Linked DNA regions of Caenorhabditis elegans. The protein of the gene in region 2 purifies or fractionates together with the protein of the main gene of each other region. This does not show direct contact. Each region holds a gene or a part of one and is shown on either strand. Other genes may lie near its edges.

The links. Proteins that work in one complex are often made in the same cells at the same time.
Region 1: the proteins of dct-6 (region 2) and ufl-1 fractionate together in Caenorhabditis elegans (co-fractionation; one large-scale study listed by BioGRID). This does not show direct contact.

What each region holds. Positions count from the first base shown.
Region 1 is NC_003282.8:7,032,196-7,038,546, forward strand, and holds ufl-1 (E3 UFM1-protein ligase 1 homolog), read right to left. Parts: upstream 4,665-6,351; coding exon 4,591-4,664; intron 4,396-4,590; coding exon 4,278-4,395; intron 4,277-4,277; exon of another isoform or gene 4,184-4,276; coding exon of another isoform or gene 4,049-4,183; intron 3,994-4,048; coding exon of another isoform or gene 3,934-3,993; exon of another isoform or gene 3,928-3,933; intron 3,436-3,927; coding exon 3,281-3,435; intron 3,126-3,280; coding exon 2,886-3,125; intron 2,837-2,885; coding exon 2,628-2,836; intron 2,583-2,627; coding exon 2,436-2,582; intron 2,380-2,435; coding exon 2,096-2,379; intron 2,055-2,095; coding exon 1,839-2,054; intron 1,793-1,838; coding exon 1,633-1,792; intron 1,582-1,632; coding exon 1,287-1,581; intron 1,006-1,286; coding exon 825-1,005; intron 776-824; coding exon 647-775; 3' UTR 501-646; downstream 1-500. Other genes in the region: nabp-1 (OB domain-containing protein), read right to left, coding at 177-236, 286-364; C06G3.3 (uncharacterized protein), read left to right, coding at 3,934-3,993, 4,049-4,183; cogc-2 (Conserved oligomeric Golgi complex subunit 2), read right to left, coding at 4,888-5,157, 5,255-5,339, 5,385-5,633, 5,681-5,797, 5,843-6,246, 6,293-6,351. UniProt on the Caenorhabditis elegans protein: E3 UFM1-protein ligase that mediates ufmylation of target proteins.
Region 2 is NC_003281.10:5,964,554-5,972,079, reverse strand, and holds dct-6 (Protein dct-6), read right to left. Parts: upstream 5,668-7,526; 5' UTR 5,665-5,667; coding exon 5,624-5,664; intron 5,486-5,623; coding exon 5,397-5,485; intron 5,352-5,396; coding exon 5,065-5,351; intron 5,016-5,064; coding exon 4,918-5,015; intron 4,709-4,917; coding exon 4,363-4,708; intron 4,207-4,362; exon of another isoform or gene 4,048-4,206; intron 3,968-4,047; coding exon 3,465-3,967; intron 3,307-3,464; coding exon 3,184-3,306; intron 3,108-3,183; coding exon 3,084-3,107; intron 2,850-3,083; coding exon 2,762-2,849; intron 2,514-2,761; coding exon 2,168-2,513; intron 1,901-2,167; coding exon 1,650-1,900; intron 1,580-1,649; coding exon 1,291-1,579; intron 1,246-1,290; coding exon 1,130-1,245; intron 947-1,129; coding exon 776-946; 3' UTR 569-775; downstream 1-568. Other genes in the region: mlp-1 (Cysteine-rich protein 1), read left to right, coding at 300-357. UniProt on the Caenorhabditis elegans protein: May have a role in tumor suppression.

The DNA.
Region 1 (6,351 bases), on a different chromosome or scaffold from region 2:
TCCATAAATAAATATATTTTTATCTAAAAACTATGAAAATTCGAAGGAAATTTAAATTACAGTACTGCTTAAAGGCGCATACCTTTTCGAACTCCACAAAAATTGTCGTTCCGAGATTGAAAATCGAATCGTTTTTTGGAGCAAAAATCGCTAAATTTCGGTTTATCTGATCTTACCCGATGCGTCAGCCACTTTCATTGAAATAATTGTTCCCGTCTGTGTTCTGCGATGAATCCCTTAAAATTTATTCATTTTTATAAATTCTTTCTGAAAATCAAAGGATACCTGGATCTAGAACAATTACAGTAACCGAAAACGAATTCATGTTTGGCTGCAATTGGTGGAGAGGTATGTCACCGGACATCTGAAGAAGATAAATTCAAAAAAATTGAGTTATGAAGTTTTTCGAGGATTAAACTTTGCTGTGAATATTAATCAAAATCTACAGCAGAAGAGATCCGAGCACAACGACCATCAAAATTTGCGATCTATTGAAAAGTAATTGAAATTGGGCTGTTTATGAAAGCTACCTTCTGACTAAAAAAACAATTACAGATTTAATTTTAACAGAATAAAACACGTGCAATACATTCATATTTCAGTTCTCAATAAATTAATTAAACAAGTTATACGAATTATTTCGATATTATGGCATAATTGACTGTTTCAGACTAGAAATATCATTAACGAGCATTTCTTTGGCCACTTCGTCGCCCTTGTTCTTGATGCAAGTAACTACGCCTTTTTGGCATGCCTGAAGTAGGTCGAAGACATTCTGGAAATAGATATTCTGATAGATATATAGATGTTTAGTATTCTATTACCTCGGGGCATAAATCCTTAATTTGAGCAACAAGTTGAGAAACAAACTTTCCGCTGGCAGTTGTTGGGCGTCCAGCCTTGGCTAAAATATAAAGAACAGACAGAAGAAGAGTTGTTGCTGGCTCCGTTTGAGAACAAAGTTGCTCATGAAGTTCCGCTGTAATTTTAGCTCCAACTTCGGCTCTGAAAAAATTTGTTTTTTTTTAAATTTTAAATGTCACTTTTTTTCTAAAAAAAATATACTTGAAATTGTGAAACAATTTCAATTTCGATCAATAATATTTAAAAATTGCAAAATTATTCGTATTTCGCTTTTTTTTTCAAAAAATTCGAATTCAGCCCTGTTTCCAGCAGCTGCGACAAATTTTGAAATTTAAAATTTTAGCTTATTTTTTTCCAAAATTTTAACTCACTATAAATAATTTTTAGATATTTTTTGGAAAGAATTATGAAAATAATTTTACCTTCCTTTCTTGTCGACTTTTTTCAGTGCCAACGAAGTTGCACTTGGAGCCGAACAATTATAAACAGCATCATGAAATTTATCCAAAGCATCATCATCTGTAGATTTCAGCGACGCAAACACTGATCGAATCGGATCTCTGAGCATTTCAGGAAGGTTTTCAATTGTTTCTTCTCGCTGTTTTTCCTTCAATTGGTGTGCATTATCTACTCCCATAACATATGAAAGCAACGCCAATGCAATTTCATTTCCAACTGTTTTCAGAAGATATTGCCGAAGATCTGAGCCAAGGGGATCTGAAATTCAAAATAAATTATTTTTCTATTCAGTTTTAAAGTTTTTTCTACCAGCAAAAGTGGAAGTAGCCGTCTCAAATGTGTTAAATGAATCGTAAAGTTGTCTACACTTATCGCCGATTGCAGACAATGACTTTTTGGAATTAGCGACGCTGGCAACCAATTGATGTGCTTGAATGTCTTGAACTTTTTTGCGAAGTAGCGTTGTTGTCTGAAACATAAAAATTATTTATTTCTGAAGAATCCATGAGATGGACCTCTTGATTCAACTTTTCCACAATTACTGAAAGAATTTCTTCGGGTACTGATTGACTTTCACGAAGCCATATTTCCAGTTCCTCACTATTTATGGAAATATTCGCCGACAAATTGGATGAAGTTGAAGGAGCAGACGATTTCGAACCACCTTTCACACTTTTTGCGTTTTTCTTTCCTCCTTTTCCACCTTTCTTTCCATCTCCCCAGTCATCCGTCTGAAAAATTAAATAGTTTTTTTTCAATTCAATTTGTATACCTCTTCTTGAACTTTCACTGCTGCCTTGGCTCCGCCTTGTTTCTTTTTCTCCGCTTCTAATCGATCAACTTCCTCATGTGCTCTGACGTCCAACAATTTGTCAATTGAACGCAGAGCTTCAGTCAAAACTGCTCCCTTGAACACAAAACCCTCTGCAAAATGCGAATCTTTTTCCACATTTGCAACTTTTGACCCGATTTCATCCTCATCAGCAGTATCTAGAGGAAGATTTAGAGATTGAAGAGCCAAATGCACGTCGGATATTCCGCTTTTTTGTAAGTCTTCTGAAAATTTAAAAATTCAATTAAGTAATAAAATTCAAAACAATTAAACAAAAAACCTTGAACAGCATTAATACATTGATCCATGAGTTCTTTTGTCATAAACATAGATCTCATACTGACAAGTTTTTTGAATTCAGATGATCCAAGAACTTCTTCGAGAGCTGGTTTTGCATCTACTCCTAGAGTTTTTAGAGTTGAAATTTCTGGAATTTAAAGAAATTAAAAGATAAACAAATAGATGATCATACCTAAAAATTCATTCTGTCTATATTGATTCAAAACGCACGACTTCACAAGATGATCGTACATCATTGGACGATACGAGCAGGAAGGTGATGTACGAGAACCGATTAAAGTACCAGGAATTTCGCCGAGAGATTGAAGATTTTCGAACGCAATCCAAAATCGTTTCGGTGTGAGACCAACTCGTTTTTGGATAGTTGAAATAGGAGTGATTCTGTTTGGAAAAAACATTATTTGAACGGCAATGGAAAACAGATTCTCACTTAGTTAATGCAATCAGAATAGCGCGTAGAACCAATTGTCTGGCATTCAAAAATGAAGAAGTATAGATCGTATCCCCATCAACCACTCCTTGAAAATCAGAAGATCCCAATTTTTCGATTAGCAAGGATTGCAAAAGTTCCGATGATAGATTCCAGTGCTTGCAGAGTGCTGCAGTTGTTTGATTTCCTTGCTCATCGAGAAGTGTACGCAATTCGTTACGAAGACGATGTACGTATTCACTGAAAATTTATATTTTTTGAGTGTTCAATGAACAAATGATTTTGTCGATTTGCAATTTGCAATCGACACGTAACAATAATGAAGTCAATGTGTTCTTCTTTGTTCTTTTCCGAACTTTAGGCCTATCTAAATCACGTGAATAAACTTGACCTACGTCGCGAATATCTCTGCATTCGAAATTGTAAATTCATCATCAGTCGAAACAATCAAGCGCGAAGTCTTCTCGATATGATCGAAATCTATGTTAAGAGCAACTGCGATATCAGTGAGAGAAGCACGTCCTCCAGCGGCTATGCACTCGTTTTTTATCTGAAAAATGGATTGATGAACTTGAAACTTTGGAAAATATTCAGCCTGTGTAATTTTCCAATTATTCTGCCAAAATACGGTAGCCGGTCTCGAAGCGACATTATTATCTTATACACAAAGAGCAACGCGCCTTTAAAGATTACTGTAATTATTCGTGTGTAGATAATATTTTCCAGATTTTCAAAACGTAAATGACACATTTTTGCTTACAAATATTTATTTAACTACTTTTTTCTGTGATACTTTATAATAAAAATTAATTGTTCTTCTTTCATATTTATTCCTAACCGTAAATTTATCCTCAATAACAAATCGAAAACCAAGGCTGCTGTCAAAATGAAAACATGATCACATGTTTTGCTGCTTCCAGTTTATTCTGTACTCACATTTCTGCATTTGTGTAAACATAAAAGTTCATTGCGGTCAACAAAAAGGCGGAGTTTGTGAGAAAAAAAAGAAAGAATAGATAGACATTTTTATTTTCTCAAACACTCAACAATGCCCAATCCATCTCCCGCAATTCTAATGCCAAAGTCTATATTAAAGAAACCTGATCAAGTGAGCCTAAGCTGTTTGGAATGTTAGTATTCTTTTAAAAAAAAGGAAATTTCAGAGCCAACACGAGTCACCATCAAATTCTCCAGTTTCTCCATCACCCCAAGAAGTTCCACGTGGCAAAAAAGAATGGTGGCTTCCATTTAATATACCATTTCATAATGAGATTTTTCGAAAAAATTCAGGGTTCTGAAATTTAAGAAACGACTACATATTGGTCTCATCTACCAATATTTTACTTTTATTTTCATTTTTTTTTTTTGAATAAAAAATTTCTGCCCTCTCACCTCAGTTTCCAAGTGGTTTTTAGTTACATAACTATGCCCATCTCTAGTATAGACCACGTCAATTCGATGAGAAGCGATAAGTTTTTGAAGGACTTCAATGCAATTCACCTCGGAGAGCCTTAAAGAATAATTTTTTAAAATTATTCTACAATTGAGAATTTTAGTGAAAAATTGTTAATACAGATGAGATAAATAATTAAATTTTTGATACTAAAACCTTATTAATTTTTTGTTGTTTTTAGGGCAAATGGTGTATGTGCTATCATTTAGTATCAAATATATAAAATGGCCAAGAATCAATGATATTTCTCACTTTTTAGATGATTGTGACAGTTGAACTCTCTGCAAATCTGATGCAAGTTTCTGAATATCTGCCCAGGAAGTCATCTGAAATATTTACCACTTTAATATATCAAATGAAAAAGAAAGAAAAAGAAATGAATCGATGGATTTTTAACCGAACTTTTAAGAAAGTGAACACAAATACGATGCTATACACTTTTTATTCCAATACCATGAACCCATATTAAGGCAATAGACGATTTTAAAGACTTCAACCCATTTGTTAAAATAAAATGTACATGTAAATAAATAATCACATAAAATTAATTCAAGCATTCCCCGCTTCTTCGTTCTGATTTTTCTCTTGTACAATCGCCGAACGTGCATCTTTGTCAAATCGATTGACGACTTCTTGTAATCCGGTGAGATCAGCTTGTGAGAATACAAGATTTTCCGCATAGCTCAGGAAATATTTAGCATCATGATAGATTTGTTGTTTGATTTTATCGTCATCAGTAACCGTGGAGCCAGAATCAGTTGTGGTTTTCCGTTTGAATCGGGATAAAGAAGATCCTGTAGCTTCGACACTATCCAGCACCTGAAAACAAATATTTTGTTGCAATTTGCATCAATTGGAGTGGTTTATAAACTTAGCGGGAAAAAAAATTATCTCATGTGTCCAAAATAAACGTTACCTCGTTCCCTTTCCCCACGAAATAATTGAATGCTGAAAGATTAACTTTTCGAACAATTTCATCGGTGTGAGGATGTTCTTCGCAGCTGAAAAAAATACGTACAAAATTTTGTGGAAGCAATATAAACTACCATAGTTTTTCTTTCAAATTCTCAACCATTTCAATAGCTGTAACAACATATTTGGAATGCGTTGTCGGTGGTGATTTCTTCGTCCATCTGTATTGTTTAGGAACATCGGAAACTTGAGCAATTTCTTGATGAAGAACTTCGGAGAACATTTCAATAATACTATCATCAATTTGAACACAAAGACTATCAATTGATCGACCATGCTTTGTTAGGCATTGACCGAATGGAGCGGTATCCACTGTGATATCACTGAAAAAATGATATCTAAATGTAAGTAAGTATTTAAATAAACGAACTGAAATTTTCCCCAAATTGACTCCAACGCGAAATCGAAAACCAATTGATGAAGATTTCCAGTATCCGAGCGGAGAGTAACCATTGAAGTCCAATCTCTTTTTTCTTCCATGAAATAACTAGAAAACAAAATATTTTTCGTGAAGAAGAACTTTTAATCTAACTTTTTCATAGTTTGACTCCACGAGAAATGCTTTAGCAAAAGCTTCAATGTGAAATCCCATAATTTATCAACAATAGGAGGAAGATACACATCATCACTCCACACATGCTCAATTGCTGTTATAATTGCTCTTGAAACTCCGCAGTGCAGCTGAGGAGTGTTTTCTCGATTTTCAGAAGTTTCTGGCTCGGCAAACATTTCGGGAGACATCAGCTGATCGCACTGTTTTCCGAATCGATGTGTTTCTAATTTAAAATAAACTAATAAATTGAATTTATCCCTGATCGACTTAAGCATTGCACGGCAGGTATGAGAAGATGGCCAATTATCGATAAATTCTTGAGTGAGCAAGAAACATTCATGGAAAAGTCGTGTGTCACTTGGGACTGCGACGGCTCCCATACACTGAAAATACAAATAATTATGAATATAAAAAGTTATGAACGGAAACCTTATCAATAAATGTCAGAATGAACGTGAGAAGGGTTTCGTCCAGAAAACGGCGGATGT
Region 2 (7,526 bases):
TATTTTTCACATACGTTCACCTAACGAACAACTAACCCGGCGTTGCATCAATCCTAACATTTTTGTCTTGAAATAAGAAAAATATTAACAAGAATACGGTATTTCAAAGGATCTTTAAATCACTTTGGGCGACAAATATGATGTATTGAGTACTGTACAAACACCGACTAAAATGATCATGATCAACGCTCAAAGTTTTACTTTTATTATTACCTAACTTTTCAGGTTTTTAATACCGTAACAATGTTTTATTTTCATATTTCCTGATAATATTTAAAATTAAAATTCCAAAATTTCAGCAATCGTCCTATGACAGCCGAGGCATTCACCGCACCAATCAATCCTTCCCATAGCTGAACTTTCTCTTTCACTTTTCAATTTTTATTCAATTTTCTATAATATTCCTCAATTGCTAAAATTTTCAACTTTTTAATTGGACATTTCTCAATTATTACTATTATTATTATTATTATTACTCTAATAATGACATTTTCAAATAATTGAATACCCCTGGTACTTTCGTTCCTACTAATAAATATTGTTAAGCTTCAAATTGTTAAAATTTCAAAAAATAATAATTTTATTTCAGAAAAACAAAACAAATAAAAAATTAAAAAAAGGCACTGAAAATTATCACAACTGAACTCAAAATGCGATTAGAATTTTCTTAAATACACGTTTGTGATCCCACACAATGACCCGATGCAAAATGCAAAAATTAACCAAAAAAGCTAAAAACTGAAATTGTGTAATTGAGCGAAATTAAATTAAATTTTCAATTAAATTCAAAATCTCTGAAATTATCCATTCTCTTACGATCTTCAATTGAAAGTTTTTCGTTGGAAATTCCACGACCGTAAACTAAAAATTCAAAATACTTGTATGAGACAAACTCGAATCCGATTGGCTGGCTCATTGAGTGTTCGTGAGCAACTATGAAGTCGTGCTGAAATTTTTTTTTAATTTGAAAACACACACACATATTCAAATGAATTTCGTATAAAATAAAATCAGTTAGCATGAAAACGTTTCTTCCAAATCGTAAGTTTTAAAAATATTTTTTAACCATGAATTTTGTATTTACTGCAAAATAGATATTAATATAATTTCTCTAAAAATAGTAACCAACCTGTTCAATTTTAGAGGCTGTGACAAGAACTGTATGAATAACAATGTGATGAGCTGTCAATGAATGAATAAATAATCTTGTGCCACATGAAGTCTTTGATGCTCTTGTTCGTAGACCTGAACATTACTTTTTCTTATTTTATTTCTACATTAAATTCTCACTCATAACAATTCTATCATTCAATCCCTTGTGCCAATCATCAACAGTCCCCACTAAATCAACAGCTCCATTTCCTTTTTCTTCATAAATTGAAAGACGATCATCAGCAAATCCAAGAAGTAGATATCCTTCAGCTCTTTCCATTGAGGTTACCGAAGATGATAGTTTCAATAATTGCATTCTTTCACTTTTTAGTTTCTTTTGTTGATGACGATCAAGATCATTCCAGATTTGAAGAGTTTTAGCACAACTTACATAGCATCCCATTGGTCGACCGTGAAAGCAGATCATCTGAAAATTGACAATAAAATTGCCTAATTATCAAGACTAAATGTCTCAAAAATTCAAAAGAATTACCCACATTTTGAACATTAAAAAGAGGCTCAATTTGAGCGATGAACTTCTCCTGAACATTAAAATCGTGTTGTCCAGTGAGGAGTGCCACGTATGTTCGAATAGCCTTATCAGCAAATCCAACAGCATAACGAAGTTTACATGGAAGTTGACGGTACTGCATACTTGGATCCAGAGACACATTTAGTACTTCTATCGGATGTCCATTCTCATCTTCAGCTCGTGATTCGCCAAGATCGTGAAGACCGATAAGGCTTTCTGGAATCAAAAGTACAACTTGATCGTTTATAAAATGGAAAAGGGTTTTTCAGATATAATACATAGTACATTTAAACATAGTATTAATAACAGCTATTTAAAACAAAAATAACGACAAGATTACTTTTTACTTTTAAAATTATTGTTAGTAGATTTTGAAGTTTAAACGGTTTTATGGTTGATTTCAAATTTTTATATGCTTCTTCTAATGAGAAAAAAGGAAAGTTTAATAAAAATCAACTATGAAAAATCAACTTTAAAACGAACCTTCAGCATACTGCAAAACCTTCAATCGAACAAAAGTATCACTTGCAACAACTGCAAATGCACCTCTCTCATCAACTGAAAATGGAGTAACTGCAATTGCATGTGCACCACCTGTATGGTGTGTAACTCTGTGCCATCTCTCTTGATCTTTTTCCGAAACAACAATTTCTGTGTCAGTGCAATGAAGTGCTAGAAGGGATTCCCCAGTTGCCAATAATTTGATACAATTTACGGATCCTGACGAAATAGGATGAGCCAAAATACTGCTTGCCACAACAAAATGTTCATAATTTGATGCAAAATCAAATGATAAATGTAGAAGACCTCCAGTTACACTTCCCAAAATCTGAGAAAAACATTCATGGGAATTGGTATTTCTAATTTTAGGAAGTTGCCACATTTGTCAGCTTCTCGGTTCACTTAAAAGTATTCAGAAATGTTTCAGTATCAAGATTTCAAAATTATCAAAACTAGACAACAATTATGCTATGAATTGATAATTTTCCCATAAGACCACAATCATGGAGATCTAGGCTGCCAGATTCCAAGTTTTCAGTAAAAAAGTTTGGAATCAAGTCTCAAAAAATTGCTCACCATTTGATGTGGTTCAACGAGAATCGAAGAAATACTGTCGAAAGTGGGAAGTTGAAGTTGATTTCCAGCATCCAAGTACCTCTTTTCTCTGAAAAATATAACTATAATATTAGTTGCTCGAAAATAAGGCGTTAAATTATTGTTTGGGAAATCATGAAAATTAAAAAGATATGTTTTGGCGTTTGTTTGAAACTTTGAAAACTTATTATAAAACAAAATAAATACTGGAAAATCATGCTTATGGGAGGTAAACTGAATGATAGAAGTGGGTGGAGGGAAAAGTTGGCGATAAAAGTTTAGTTCAAGTATAGTACGTTCCTACCCTTTTCCAGCTTTTGGGCGGTTTCTGTAATTTTAAATTGGGGTTTTTTTCATTTTGCGCGCAGAAAATTAGTTTTTATAATTGCTGAAACAAGTTTTACCTGTAGAAATACGTCGGGAAAACATTATTCTGATCTGCTACGTAGACACCTTCAGCGGATTTCATTGCACAGGCCGCAGTGAGACACGTGGCAAATGATGCATCCAAAGAAATGGAGGCCACTCTGAAAATTATGGAAAATTTTAGAGTAAACTTTGAAAAAAAAAAATTACATTATGTATAGTTTAAAAATAGTTTTCGGAATTTATTTTATTTTTATTGTGGCAATTTTAATTAATTTTTCACACTTTGATACTTTCCAAAATAATTTGAAAGTCTTACCGTTTCCCCTTGCGTGGATAAATGGCCATCGTTGTAAGACCCGAAAGACAATATAAAGTGATATCTCGGCTCTGCGCATCCAACACAAAATGAGTGAATACATCCTTTTTGTCACCTCGATGCTCAAATATATTCTGACTAATAATCAATCTCATATCCTTTGCTGCTTCTGAGCAACCATTTAATTGATCGATTATCTGATCAATTTTCTGTTCCCATACATCCGAATGTTTCTTGATTTGATCACTATTCACTTTTGCAATAAGTTCTTCCACTACCATTTGTTTCTCTTCCACAGCAATCCAGCTTTTCCCAATAAGATTCTGATTTCCAGTTCTTTCAACTTCTTTGCACAACTGTTCAAGTTTCTCAAGCTCACTCAGCTCATCCACCAGAAGACTAATCATTTGCTCAATTTGATCATTCATGTCAAGTGCGGATTTTATTATTGTGATCAGTTTTCGGAGAGAAGTCAAACGTTGTGAGACCCGTTCACAGCGAATCTGAAATTATGCTTTGTGATTTGTAATCAAGGGTGTCAATTCCCGTTTCCCGTTTTTCCCGTTTTCCCGTTTTTAAAAATTTCCCGGGAACGGGAATTCCCGTTGTCCCGTTTTTCAAATTTTCACGGGAACGGGAATTCCCGTTGTCCCGTTTTTCAAATTTTCACGGGAACGGGACATTTTCCCTCATTTTTTGGTTTGTAGTTCGTTGTTCCAACACATCGCAACTTCTTTTTGTGAAGCATGACGTCACGCATTTTGCATACTTCGAAATTAGTATGACGTCACCCGTTCGAAAAATGGTGTTGCAATTTTTCGAGATTGAAAACAAGAAAGTGATTGTAAGCAAAGTTGGGATTGTTTCATAAATATTTTAGTATTAATTAAAAACCTACAGATTGATTCTTGAACTCAATCTTCAATTTGGCAAAATCGTCGTTCGTAGTGTCTCCTTCGACAACTTCTTCCTCTGCCACTAACTTATCAGACAAACTCTTTGAAGTAGTAAGCATATCTTCTCTCCGTTGTTTTTCAGTATCCTCGAATTTTTGAATTCTTCCAATTTCTTCAAAAACAACATCCAAAAGAACGCTTAAATTGTTTCGATTCACTGCGACTCTCTTCACTAGAAGCATATCATCGTACTGCTCATGAACCACTCCAACCCGTACAAAACCATCGTAATATGCCACGTGGAGAAGTCCCGAGTCCCTCCAGAGAAGTCCACTGGTAATTGGGCGACTGAAAAAATTAGCATTTGAATAGATTAATCTTGGTCCCTGGATATGTGTGAGATTAAATTTTCAACAAGCCCCTGATATCTCAGGGATAGTACATAGATTGCATGAGATTAATTCGATATCAGGTTAGTGCTTAGAAATTCGGTTGCCGCTAGGTTACTGTAGGATCGAAAGATACTCTTTACAATTTTTAAAATTCTAAGAACTCACTTGCATCGGAAAGCTTGAATACATTGAAAGTGTGTTGATGTATGAGCACAAAATGAATAATGGAAGATGCCGGTCTCTAGAAGAAATACTAGAAGAAGCTGAAAATATTTCTTTCTCATTTTTACTGTTTATTCCCTTATTTCTAACCTCAGTGTTTGAATGCTTCTCTGCATTTACAGCAATAATCTTTCCAGGTAGTTTCAGAATTCTGCTCTTGGAAACCGTCGAACTCTCGAATAATTCAACAGATTGCACAATTGACACGTGGTAGTCTCCATTGACAATGACATCTTCGGTTCCTTCAATTGGTTGAATTAGTCGGACGACGTCATTTGATCCGAACACCACGACATTTGTAACTCTGACAGGGAGACATGTATGTTGTGATCGTTCCAGTTCTAGTGCATGAATTACTTCAATGTCTCCGCCGCAACCTAGATTATTTGGTAAATTTGGATTTTAATAGAAATTCAATGTACCTGACAGAAGCCTCCCATCATCTTGATGCCTAAAAAGTGCGCCTCTAATCCTGTACGATGGATGCTCCAGGGCATACCCAGTCATGGATCTGTACAATTATTTAACCTTATATTGAAATAAATCCTAGGACATATCACAAATTTCTATTTTAAAGTAGGTTGTGTAATTCTTGGAATCAGATTTCAAATATTCAATTAGTTAAACTATTTTCAATTAATAAACTCACCGTTGTTGAAAATCTTGATGCGAAGTTGTAGATTCAATCATACCCTGAATCATGGCAGATATTAGATTTTAGTAATAAAGTTTTGAGAAAAGTAATAGCAACGCAATTAGTTTCTGATGAACGAAGAGAATAAGAGAATCGGTGGGATATTAAATACTACAACATAATACGCCAGAGACATGGTGTCGAAAAGAATTACGATGAGTGATCGGAACAGTTACGGACATAACACACTTATACAGTGAGGAATGCAAAAAGTGTATCGTCTGGCTTCTGACTAATTTCGATGGGGAAAACTTGGAAACTTGAAGAACTGAAACAAAAAGTGAAGAAGGTTTGAATGTACAACCATTTCTCTCTCTGAACACATTCTATTCTTATCACTGACAACATATCACTCCCATTCGTTTTATCAATTGGTGTGAATAAGTGTTTACCGTTTTTTTTAGTTAAACAACTTTTATATTCTAATAGGCAAACAACTAAATAGTCATAAAAAAGTAGCGGCAAATTTAACAAACTTGCAAGTTCCAATAGCAAAAGTTTCTTTTAAAAAATCACTACACGTAGGCCCAAACTTACATGCACATGTCTTGACCCTAATGAAAGCGTTCCCCTACTGCTCAAATTCAATTTTTTTTTAAATAATTATTTTAATTTTTAAATCTGTCAGTACAGAAAGATTTTACGAGGGTGTTTTTCAGGAGAAATTTTTTTTTAAATTGATTTCAAAAAGTTTTAATGAGCGCCTCAATTGATGAGGTATGTAATTGGAAGTACTCAGGAGCTGCAAATATTTTTAAGTAACGTGGCTACTTTGCAAAATGTGTTCAAAATATGACAAACAACATAAAGTTTACAATAATGAAGACATAACTAACTAATTGATTGTTGATGTTATCTTCAAAAAAGAATTCAATTGGAAAGATCTATTGAAAAGATTAAAATTCTGTCAAAGTACTTCTACAAGGTTAACCATTTGGAAGAAGAATGTGTAAACCATTTCCGAAAATCGAACAAATGTTTGTTTGATAGCGAGCAATACCTGATGGTTAAGCTGTACAAATAATAGAGTGTAGTAATGTGTATGTACTAGTTCAAAAGGAATTATTTTTCATTCATGGTATTAGATGTTTAATTTGAGATTGTTTTATCCAGTTGTTTCAAATCAAACGCAATATTCGAAATAGTTTAAATTGATATTTTTTCAATATATTGGGAACATCACACAGATAAGTTTGAAAGTGGCTCGCGGCGGGTTATTTTTAATACACACACAACAAATTTCTATCAGCCTCCTGCCGTTAGGCCTGCCTACTGGAGTACATCTGAATATAGCTTTGTTTCAATTTCCAAAAATTAAAACGGAGGTAAGTTTACACATATTAACACTCAAAACAGAAAATAGGCGGTAGGCAGGAGCGTAGGCTTGAAGACGTACCTGCTCACCACGCCTAGTCTAGTTAAATGTTCAAAACTCCTCCAAACTAAAGAAATTTCAAGACAATGCTAAAAGTCTGAAACTACAGTACTCAGTTTAGATTAATATGTTATTGTGGTTGGCCTGCCAAGTTTCACTAGATATTGGAAACAATAACAGACTGCGGGAACAGCAACAAAAATAAAAAATGAGATGAACAAAGAGAAGAGAGAGTCTAGGCTTTGGAACGATTGAAGAAGAGGGGCAAAACACGTAATGAGCAAGAACAATAAGAAACAACGAAAAGCACCCGTCGATGCAAGAGAGTTAGAGGAACAGCGGCGGCGGCGGCGTTTTTGAGCTCCCGGCGGGAAGAAGAACACGAAGCACGGGAGGAGAGAGTAGTAGGATCAGAGACCCGCAGACACGTGTGTATGGACGTGTTCACAATTGATTTTCGATGCAGACGATGGGTGTCGAGAA